Linked DNA regions of Cricetulus griseus. The protein of the gene in region 2 interacts with the protein of the main gene of each other region in a biochemical or structural test. Links are inferred from orthologs where the notes say so. Each region holds a gene or a part of one and is shown on either strand. Other genes may lie near its edges.

What was found.
Region 1: the proteins of Acta1 (region 2) and Gsn are reported together in a solved structure, tested with the Homo sapiens proteins (3 studies listed by BioGRID and IntAct). The link is inferred for Cricetulus griseus from reciprocal best matches to the Homo sapiens genes ACTA1 and GSN.
Region 3: the proteins of Acta1 (region 2) and Gc are reported together in a solved structure, tested with the Homo sapiens proteins (2 studies listed by BioGRID and IntAct). The link is inferred for Cricetulus griseus from reciprocal best matches to the Homo sapiens genes ACTA1 and GC.

What each region holds. Positions count from the first base shown.
Region 1 is NC_048599.1:147,119,612-147,123,262, reverse strand, and holds part of Gsn (gelsolin), read right to left. Parts: intron 1,388-3,651; coding exon 1,254-1,387; intron 1-1,253. UniProt on the Homo sapiens protein: Calcium-regulated, actin-modulating protein that binds to the plus (or barbed) ends of actin monomers or filaments, preventing monomer exchange (end-blocking or capping).
Region 2 is NC_048596.1:200,578,283-200,582,544, reverse strand, and holds the start of Acta1 (actin, alpha skeletal muscle), read left to right. Parts: upstream 1-1,442; 5' UTR 1,443-3,096; coding exon 3,097-3,135; intron 3,136-4,262. UniProt on the Homo sapiens protein: Actins are highly conserved proteins that are involved in various types of cell motility and are ubiquitously expressed in all eukaryotic cells.
Region 3 is NW_023276807.1:154,301,469-154,305,119, reverse strand, and holds part of Gc (vitamin D-binding protein), read left to right. Parts: intron 1-1,199; coding exon 1,200-1,269; intron 1,270-1,807; coding exon 1,808-1,940; intron 1,941-3,651. UniProt on the Homo sapiens protein: Involved in vitamin D transport and storage, scavenging of extracellular G-actin, enhancement of the chemotactic activity of C5 alpha for neutrophils in inflammation and macrophage activation.

The DNA.
Region 1 (3,651 bases), on a different chromosome or scaffold from region 2:
CCCTCCCTCCCTCCTTCCTTTTCTTTTGACATGGTTTCACTGTGTAGCCCTGGCTGTCCTAGAACTTGATCTGTAGACCAGGCTAGCCTCCTGTCATGGAGATCCACCTGCCTCTGCCTCCTGAGTGCTGCTATTAACAGTATGAGCTACCATCATTTTCTTAATGTTTGTTTTTCAGTGCTAGGGGAGTGACCCAGAGCTACCTGGATCTATGAAAGTGCTCTGCCTCTCCTGACCCCAAATACAAAGTTAAAGTCCAATAAGATACCACTTTATAAACTATCAGACCAAAATCCATGAGTTTAACAGTACAGTCTGCTGAGGTGGAGCCAGGGAAACAGGGACTCTTGCATGTAGCTGGCAGGAATACAGGAATTTGAAACCGGGGCTATCTATCAAAATGACAGGTCCATTGACACTGATCTGGCGATCTATTTCTGGGAACTCAACACAGAGAGACTTCTCTAAATATCTGACTGTTTGCTAACAGTTATTAATCTTGACGGTGCTGATGAGATCAGGTGACTAGCACACAAGTATGCATGGGTGTGGGGAGCTCGTTGATAAATGGTGGTATAGCAACCCAAAGGCATGGTACAGTTGTTAGACATGCACACCTACATCAGGAAGCTGTCAGTTTCCAGGAAGGCTGTAGCCAAAAGGCAAGCCACAGACCAATACACTTAGCATTTGCTTACATTACATATCCTTCCAGTAATTATGCGAAAAGAATAAATAAAAACGCCAAACTGGTCAAGAGGAAAGGGCGGGGCTTGTGGCTGAGTCAACAGGGGCACAGGTGGGATGAAAAGTTCAGAAATGACACTTTTGGACTCTGCCTTGGGTTTGGAGCAATGTGATTATATGTTCTGCTTTAAAACAATTATTTAAATAATATTGTAATTGACATATATAATAATACTACATGTTTATGTACTACAAAATCATCTATATTGCTACAATGGAAGCCTCTGAGAGCATAAACTGATAGTAAGATTTGTCATTGATTGGCAGGAGGTGCTGGGTTGGTGTGTCTCTGTCCCTAAGATGGGCATGTCATATTCGATGGCAAGTTTAGAGTTGTGACTCTAGGTGAGAATGGGTCCCAGCAGGGTATGGCTGTCTGAACTCAGGCCTCTATAATCCAGACTCCCTGAGGTCAACCATATTTCTCTTCCTCTTGTCACCATATTCAGGCACAGTAGGAGCCACACACTCCCACTAACACCAAGCAGACAGCCTAGGTCCCTCACCAGTTGTAGATGATCTGTCCCTGGCGGCCACCATGTCGATAGTTGTACAGAATGATGTAGCTGTCACCTCCATAGAACTGCCCGTATGTGGCAGGGTCCACTGGTACCTTGTTGGAGCCTTCAATTCTCCAGATCTGCAGGGGTAGAGTTGGGGTCAGATAACTGCAGTGTGTCCCTCTGTCACCTCGGACTAGCTGGTGACCCCAGCATAGTAGACAGTGTAGATAACAGGACAAGCTTTTCATGGTTGCATGGTGCCATTCAGGCCCAAGCAAAGTTAAATAATTTATCCCACTCACAGGGCTGCTGAGAGGCATGGCGGGGCCATGACCCCAGGGTTCCTGTTCTTCTCACCACATTTTGGCTAGACCTGTGCTCCCTTCTGAGAGGCCCCTCAAGATAGCTCTAGATTAGAAGACTGAGTCAGGCCTGAGTCAAACCTAACCCCCAGCCCTTGAGGGGTCATATAACTTCAGACAACATCACCTCTCAGAGCCTCAGCTTTCACTCCTGAAACATGATGGCAATGACAACAGTTAAGGGAAGTCCTTGAAGCCTTAAATTCTAGTCATGAAAATGGCATGATGCCCTGTGCCACAAGCAGGCTGTGAGCATCAGCTGCTAGCAAAAGGACTGTCATTACGTCTCCAACATTTCCATTCTCCTCATTGTTATGGAATCACTAGGATTTTATGGGTCATCTCACTCATGAGGGCCATAGTTGGATGACCTCAGAATGACCCCTGCAGGCGGATCTCTGCAGAGATCCGGTGACAGGACTTTAGTCGTCAGGAGGCCCTGCAGTGACACCTGGTGGTGGTAAAATGGAGACTCTGACCCACCCCATTTTACAAGAGAGCAAGTGAGGCTCAGAGAGGTTGCATGAGTGGCCCCAGGAGACTCAGCCAGGCTCAACTCTTTGTCCACTAAATACTTTCACCGTCTCCTCTCCACACCCTAGAGTAACAAAAGATTAGTATCCAGGACAGAAATGATGCCATACAAAGATGATCCCGTAGTATGCCTCTTAGAAAACAATGGGCCCAGGCCTGAAACAGACTCTGGGTCCTGAACCTCTCTGAACACACCTCCACCTGCACTGGTTCCAGGTGCCGCATCATCTCTCCCCTAAACCATCACAACCACCCCTTCCAGACATTCCAGCTTCGTTTCTCTGCCTCCTACCTATTCTTACAGTGTGTTTCTAAAGCCCGGGACCAAATCTGCCATACACCCACTAAAAAGACAAGATGAAAGGAAAACCCAAAATACTTGATTACTGCCACACCCCATGAATGGCATCAGCACCAAACTTGGATAAGCACTGTCTTCCTCAAATAGTGGGTCACACCTGGGATGTGTCCCCTATACCCACCCCAGCAGTAAACCCTACTACTGTGATATCCCCATTGCCACTGCCCTTCCTGTGTTCCCACAAAAATCCCCTGTGCTTCCTTTCAGCTCTGGGAACAACAGACTTCAAGATTCTGTTGTGGCTGTGGCCACCTCCCCTCCCATCCAGGCACTCCTAGGGAAAAGGAGGAGTCTGGCAAAGAGTCTGGCACATAGTAGGTACTCAGGGGATGCTTGTCGCCAACAAACAAAGTCGAACAAAAGAATCTCATCTGCAATAACTGGTGGAAAACATAAAAGAAACATGCTCAGGGAGACAGAGGGTGGGGACATGAGCCATGGGTACCTGGGAGGGAGGGAAGGGGGGGCATCCAGCCAGAGCTGGCCCAAGCACAGCAATACCATAACAAGCATCCAGAAACTGCTTTTGTTAAAAAGCACTGGCTCCTGCCTGTGACCAGGGGCAACTGAAGCTGGAAGGGCGTCTAGGCCTCCATTTGGCTTGGGTCTCCCTTACTCTGAGTCACTTGCTCAGCTCTGCTTGCAGATATATTACTCCCTCAAGGGGCATCTTGCTGACCTATCTCACCTGCCTTCAAGGCTAAAGGCAGAGATAATCACAGCCCGGAACTGTGTCACTGCAAGAGCAGCTTTCTCACCCACCCGAGATGATGCTGATTATTCAAGAGGGAGAGGCAGCACCCTGAAGTCTAACTGGCCTTAACCATAGGGACCTCCTAGACCTCCCTGCAAACTAGATTTGAGGTGATTAATCAGGCCACACTTTGACCAGGACTGCTTATTTACACACACCTCCAGCCCCAACTCTCCCTCTATTTAAAGCTCATGTCCATGCTGTGAAGATGGACTTGGGAATCATGAGGACCCTTTTCTAGCTCTCCTCAATGTGGCTACATTGATAAAATCCCCCATCTGCCCTTCACCATCCTTCAACCGGTGTAACGGGACAGGTGACTGAGGAATTCCAGGCCTGTGGAATCTGGCAGAGCCAGGCTTTTACTCTAATAAACCGTGGTTCCGATAC
Region 2 (4,262 bases):
TGATTTTCTTTCAGTTGTAAGATATTTTCTTCTCATTTTCTACTTGAAGTCACCCTTGTTTCTGTGTTTCTGCCCTTTCTCCAGTCTCCCTTGGTCCAGTGAGGCATGCAGTTTTTCTCTGGCACTGCCTCCTTGTGCATAGTATGTCTGTTTTGAGGATTGTAAGGTTGAGTCAAGTTTGGTGACATGTACCTGTAATCCCAACACTAGAGCCTGAGACAGGAAGATACTGAGTTCAAAGCCAGTCTGGACAGCATAGCAAGGTCTGGACTTGAAAACCAAAACAGATTGCCACTCCCTCCCCCTAGTTCGTTATCCAATGTCAACCTTTAAATAATATACATACAAATAATATTTTGTGGACCGAGCAGGTTGTGCTTATATATTTAGGTCAACAACTAAAAGAGGCCATGAATTTGAGTGCAGGGGAGCATGGAGGTGTTGGAGGGGGCATGGGAAAGGAAAAATAATTTAATTATATTTTAATTTCAAAAAATTAAGGAAAACAGTGTTTTTCAAGATTGCTCTAATCTGTCTTTGGAGTCACTGTGACTCTGGATTTGGTACACTAAAGATCCTCTGGGATGTTGATCTCTCTTTAGGTCAAAGCCAGAGGGACGTACCTACTTAGCAAACTGAATGTCAGATTTTATTGACTTACTATGTGACTGAGAAACAAATATAGAGGCTCTTAACTCATGAAAGGTGACAGCTGGTAACTCATGGGGAATGTTCCTCACTTTCTACATTGATTAAAACAAACAACAACAAACATGGAGATAGGGTCTTACTATGTAACTGGATGATCTGGAATTCACTATTGTAGACAGGTTAACCTCAGACTCATATCCACCTGCCTCCTAAGTCCTGGAGTTAAAGGACACCACACCTATCAATAATGGATGAATCTTAAAAGTGTTTTAGTGAGTAAGATGTTTGTGTGGCTTTCTGAGCTATCAGTAAATTGTCACTGCTACCAAATATGGTGATTACACTGGCTGTAATCTCAGTATTGAGTCAGTGAGCCTGAGTCTATGATTTCCTGATTGTTTCCAGTTTCACCATAGTTGGTCCTTTCACAAACACTGCCCATGGATGTTGTTCTGTAAACCCCAGTAAGGGGCCCTGGGGGTATAGAGGCAGAGATTTCATTTTATCCTCTTGACTGGCTGCTGTGGGAAGTGCCAGCAATCTCCAAGACAGATTCATGGCATCTCAGGCTAGCTATCATTATCCCATCTTCTTGAGTGTTTCCAGGCTAACTACGGTCCCACTACTGCCTACCCACTCCCATTCTATCCTCAGAATGATTATATATTCATGTATAAAAATTCCACATATGAGCCGGGCGGTGGTGGCGCACTCCTTTTCCTTTAATCCCAGTACTTGGGAGGCAGAGGCAGGGATCTCTGAGATCGAGACCAGCCTGGTCTACAAGAGCTAGTTTCAGGACAGCCTCCAAAGCCACAGAGAAACCCTGTCTTGAAAACCACCCTTCCCCCCACCAAAAAAAGTCCACGTATGATATAGTGACACATACCTTTAATCCTAGCACCTGGGAGGCAGAGCTAGGTAGATCTGAATTTGAGAGCAATCTAGTGTACATAGAGAGGTCCAAACCAGTTGTATAGTGAGACTCCATCTGAAGATGACAAGAACCTACATACTAAATGAAATATGTACTGAAAAGTATATATGTTGTTTTATATATATATATATATATATATATATATATATATATATATATATATATAAAAATCACATCACATTTTTTAGGATAAGTTCTCAGTATACAGCTCAGGCTGGCCTCAAACTCTCAGTCTTCCTGCCTCGGCTTCACAAGTGCTAAGACTACAAGTGTGCACCACTATCCCTGGCTAGAACATTTTTTTGAGGCATGTGGGGAAAATAAACCCAACTAACTGTGTAACCAGGAAGCCTTGGGTTCCTGTTTTGAAATGGGCCTTGGATTGTATTGGACCACCATTTGTTTCATGTGAGGTATGGTGAATACTTTGCATACCTTGACTTTGTTCTCAGTCAAAGCCTTTCCAAAAGTTTTTCCTCACCTGCTAGATGGCAGGTCCCCTGTATAGGAATGCAATTAGATATACCATGGCCTTAATAAAAACAAGGGGTGTTTACTCCATAGAGCCAGTTTCTGAGGCCAGCACATAGCTCAGCAGGGAAGCACAGCAAGCCTGGCAGCTGAATTCAATCTCCAAAGTCTACATGAAGGTGGAAGGAGAGAACCAGCTCCACAAAGCTGTCCTCTGACCTCCATGTGTGCGCCTCCTTGTGGCTCTGTGGTTCCAGAGCTGCTACAGGGTTAGAAGGGTAGAGCTGGCCTGTGCTGCTGCCCATTGCAGTGTTACTGTTACCTGCCCTGTTTGCCTCTGGGTAGTGTGAGGGCCAATAGAGTGTGAGAGGTAAAGGGGCAAAGAAAGAAGTGTGAACCTATCAGCTTGCTCACAACATTGGGAGGCCAGCAGGAAGATAATGAGTTTGAGTCTAGCTAGGATTCCGGAGAAAGAGGCCTTGTCAGGAAAGGAAGAAACTGTAGCTGAGGTTGGAGGGCACCTGCCCTGCTCACCTGCTTGCTGCTCTGCCAGATGTGGTGCAGTAGGTTTCCTGGAGTTCAAAGACACTTGTTCAAGGTTGACTTTGGATGTGCTGAATGTCATGCTGTGCTGAGAAAACTTTGTAGTGGGATAAAAGAGTTATGGTGAGCAGACTTGCCGCAATCTGGGGCGGTCTGCTCTTACCGCCCAGTCCCTCTTGTGTCCAGGGAGGGCATCAACACATTTCTCCCTACACTCATGGCCTAAATAAAGGACTCCCCAAAACTGTATGTACTATGCATTTGCTGCTTGTTTCTAATAGTTCGTTGCCCCAGCATAGGGTAAAGACAAAGCCACAAAGCTAATGGTGGCCCTGTTTGGCTGTGCAGCCCACAGTTTAGGAAGAGCTGTGTGGGAGTCTGGAGGAGCCTCAGCGTGCCTCTGCCCTCAGAGGATCTGCACCTGTCCCAGCTGCTGAGTTCCACTCCAAATGTGAACAACTATTTTGGGAACGCTTAAGCCATCAGAAAAATGAATGGCTCCATGGTGGCTTGGCTCTGATGCACCCCTCAAAGTATGTCGCCTGGTTGGCCTCAACACTTTCTTGGTCTTTCTTGTTCTCCCTGCCCAAATTGAGACAGGCGCCAAGAGGCAACGACCTCTGCTCACCCCCACCCCATCTTCCATAAGTAGCTCCTAGAAACCCAAAGGCAGAGCCCCATCTATTAGCGGTATAAATAGAACCCACACAGGCCTGGCAGGTGGTGGCTCCTAGGTGGATGGAAAGCAGCCGACGGACAGGCATCATCCTCTAAATATAAAGATGAGTCTGCCTGGGAGAAGCCACTCCTGGGCTCCAGTGTAAAGTCTTGGTGCTTCTTAGAGGGGACATCCGTCACCATCTCTCTCTGCCTCAGCCCCCTCCAGGCTCCAGTAGTTCTGGGTGTGACCCTTCTTTCAGACCCAGGGGAAGGACTCAGTGCCACCCAAGGGGAAGGGGTAGTAGCATTTGCTCAACCCAGCCAACTAAATGAGAGTTCTGGAGTTAGGAACCTCCCCCCCCCCCAGCCCACTCTGACCACCACTCTATTCCATTCAAGAATACAATGCAGAATGTAGGGGACAGCTCTAATCTGGCCTCAAATGCCATGTGCCAGGGCCACATAGCCCCCATGCCTCCCCTCACTACCACCTCCTCCTCTCTCCAACAGTTGTCTGCCCTGTGACAGCTGCATGCCCTACACTGACTTACAGCCTGTGCCGGGTGGGGGTAGAGGGCAGTGTATATGGGTCAGATCTCTGGATTGGGGGGCTTTGAAGTAGGAAAGAATATGGAGTTCAAATGTGGGGCTTATTTTCTAACCCTACTTGGGGCCTGTGAACCCTCCCAGCTCACCTGACCATAGGGCTCCCTTCTCTTGGGCTTAAGCAACAGGGCTTGGTAGCCTGAGTTAACCCATAAATGGGGTATAATGTGTCATGTCATGAATCAGTACCTTCTCAGAGGCTCATGTACCCAGGGTGGGCAGAGCTGGGGAGACCTTTAAAACAGGTAGAGTTTGGGAAATGCAGACCAGTCATCTGCAAAAACAATGACCTTTGGCCCAGCACATCCCTTCAGTGAGCATTGGAGCCAGTTGGGAGGGGCAGACAGCTGGGGATACTCTCCATATATGGCCCGGTCCGGTCCTAGCTACCTGG
Region 3 (3,651 bases), on a different chromosome or scaffold from region 2:
GTGGACCCTGACTGTAGACATGTTCTGAGCAGAGGTGTCCACTTACATGTGTTTGTTTTGTTTTGTTTAGTTTTGTTTGAGACAGGATCTCACTATATAGCCCTGACTGGACTGGACCTCACAGAGGTATGCTCTCCTCTGTCCCGTGAGTGCTGGGATTAAAGGTGTGGTCTCCATGCCTGGCTTTTGTTTTCTTTTTGTTTTCTTTTCACATCTGTCAGGCATGTTATGACTCCCCTTGGCACTGATTGTTCAAAAATCACCTCAGTCTGCCCAGAGGTGACTCACGGTTGGCTGTCCACTGCCCTCCAGAAAGCCCTGTGGTTTTGTCATTCTTGTTGCTATTCTAGGGGTCAAGATGAAGATGCCTGCAGGCCCCCTTGCTTATTTGGTCTTATTTGGTCTGTCTCAGATCTGAGGGCCACTGGTTCCTACTCGCCACCATCATCTTTGTTCCCTAGGCTCCTTTACCTACCCCACTGCATTTAGATTTCTGGAGTTGAATCAGACAGCTGACCACTGCATCCCAAACTCTAGGGAAAACCTCAACAGGCTAGTGGTTATGAAACTGCTATCACTGTACCTGAAGTGTGAGGAACTAGTCCACACTATTCTGTAGACTATCCCTTTCCCTAGCTGAAGTCCTTATGGTGTCTGGGGTGGTAACAGAGTCAGGCAGCAGCTTTCTCAACCTCTGGCCTCTTCCAAGTTCAGACCTAATACAACTGGAAACTCACCTTGGAGTGGAGAAGCTTCTCTGTTTCCTTTTGTTCTTTGTCTTGTTGAAGACATAAGACAATAAAAGGGAAGGAGAGAAAAAAGGAGAAAGGAAGAGAGAGGGGAGAGAAAGAAGGAAAAGGGGGGAGAGAAAGAAGAAACAGTCCCTTCAGCATTTTACACAGACTGAGGAGGATACTTTTCGAATAGGTGATTCTAACTCACTCACCGATGTGTAACATCTGACTCATTCTTAGCATTATTTTAGCCTTTCTACCATTTTTCCTTGCTATATGGTAAAAGTTAATTTAAAAATCACAACATTGAGGCTTTTTGTGAGAAAATAGCTGAAAACATATCTCCAAATTGACTGTACACAGATATTAAGAAATGCCTTTACCACAGATCATGTTGAAGAGCAATAATATATGTATTATTCATTAAAAGGAAAAACACACCTATTTTCTATATCTGCTTTCTAGGCCGAGACTATGAAAAGGATAAAGTTTGCAAGGAACTTGCCATGCTGGGGAAAGATGACTTCAGATCTTTGTAAGTTGCAATATCTATCCATTTCTCTTGGGTACTTGACCAGAACAAAACTGAGCACAAGGAAACTTCCACACTGTCTAGAATGCTGCCCTGGTCTATGAGATGAGGAAAGAGCCTTGGACTGTGGACCAAGCAGGTGGAGGTCAGCTAGAGATGCCAGCTGAACTAACCATTGGTAAATTTAATGAATGTAATAGAAAGTAAATATAGGCTTCTGAGGAGAATTAGAAGTGCCCATTTTTTTTTGGACTCTGGAAAATATAAGCAATGACCTGTATAGTATGTTCTTTGGGGTAAACTCAAAATAGACTCCAGGCTGCTTTGATGGCAACTACAAATCCAGTTTTTACTGTATATAAGATGACTTTTCCTATAGCAAATGCCTGACGTGTAACCTCATACTCTCACTATTAGTCAAATAAAAAAGTTAATGTATGAAATATTTCTTTTCAAAGTTGAGTAGATATCCTATTTGGCATAAGTCAAAATTCCAAACCAACCAATTCAACTCCAACTAACATAACCACTTTTCCCTCAGATCACTAATCCTATACAGCAGGAAGTTTCCCAGTGGCACATTTCAACAGGTCAGCCAGCTGGTGAAGGAAGTTGTCTCCTTAACTGAAGAGTGTTGTGCTGAGGGGGCTGACCCCAACTGCTATGACACTAGGGTAAGTGTGTATCTGGCCATCTCTACCGTGGCCCCAGAAAAAGGAAGTGGCCTTTATGTTACCTATCCAGGACACTGGATTTCAAGCCACCTACACCTAGTTGTACGGAAAAATAAAGAATATTATTTATAGCGCCAGCATTTATTCCACTACTTAGTTCCTTTCACTCATTGTTGCTACAAGGGTCAAAAGAAAAACAATTGGGATAAAGTAACTTAATGACTTACTAAATATATACTGCTAATGAGAACTGTGTGTAGGATTTAAAATCAGGTTGGAATATTGACAAACCATTTTAAATCACTCTAAATTTGAACCTCAGAAATACAAACTCTTGAACCTCTTAAAATAATTTAAATACATGCTCTATAGCTTAAAATCCTGCCTACATCTTTAGTTCTATGCTAAGGTTAGGACTAATGACCACAGAAAAACAAAATGTTAGCTTCAAATTATTTGGGTCACTCAAATATTACTAGGCACACAATTTGTATGTATTTTTAGATTCTAAGTATTTTTAAACGCATGTTTCCTGTGTGTGTGTGTGTGTGTGTGTGTGTGTGTGTGTGTGTGTGTGTGTGTGTGTGTTGTTTTTCTCCTCTATAGCACTTACATAGAAATTGAAATCCTGAAGGAAAAAGAATTGTAATTCAAAGTATCGACAGTAACTGATAAAGGTGGAAATAAGTAGACGAAACTTTACTAATGTGGTTTAGCCCATATACAAATGACAATAAGTAGATTTGGCTAAAGGCCTCCACAGAAAGATCAGTGTCTGCTCAATACCATTATTAGAATAGATTCTATACAATGAATATCCTTACCCACTGATTGCTTTATTTGCCCCCCCAACCCCTCTGTTTTACGTCATTTCTTTTACCATCAAGTTCATCAATACTCATCATTTCAGTCTCATTCTGTACCACATCAGACTGAATATGCTTCAAACTGTCAACCACACTCAAAAGAACCAGTATGTTTTCATTTCATTGCCCTCCCCATGTATTTGCTGCTGCATGTCTTTCTGAGATATGACTGGAGCTTTCGAGAGAGATAACATGGACAGATTTTGTGTGACACCTTTATCCTACTCATTCTAAGCCTTCATTTATTATTTTGTCCTGTACTAATATTTGTTCAACTTCTATTTTCATGTTGGGATAACTGAAATCAGGGAAATACAGAGGAGTTTCTATTGAGATTAATAAAATGGAAAAGGAGATTGGCTGAAGACAGAGATGATTTTCAAAGGCAGATTAATTCTTAATTTCTAAGAGCAATGAAAAGAAGGTGTACATGAGAAATGATGAGTTGGTTTGACCGACTCATTCAGTGTGTTGCTTTCCTTCACTGCTAGGAAAGGTCTTTAGAAAATGTACCTTAAAAGGATAAATAATATATATCAAATGACTTTTCTTACATAAACACCAAAGTGACTTTCCCAAGTTATTTCTACTTATTTTTCTCTATATCTATTCTTTCATATCAATTTATTACAAACATCAAATTACTTCCAATTTTCCCCTACAATTTCTTTGGTGGTGTTCTGTCCTTCAGCATGAATGAGAGGAGCAGGGCAGAGGCTGTAAATGACAGTGACCACTGGTTTCCCGCACTTACCAAGGATAAGACCTGAAATGGGAACATAGATTTTCAGTCCCCATCTTTGAGCTACTCTGAAAGTGTTTCTTGTTGAGTAATTGTGATATAA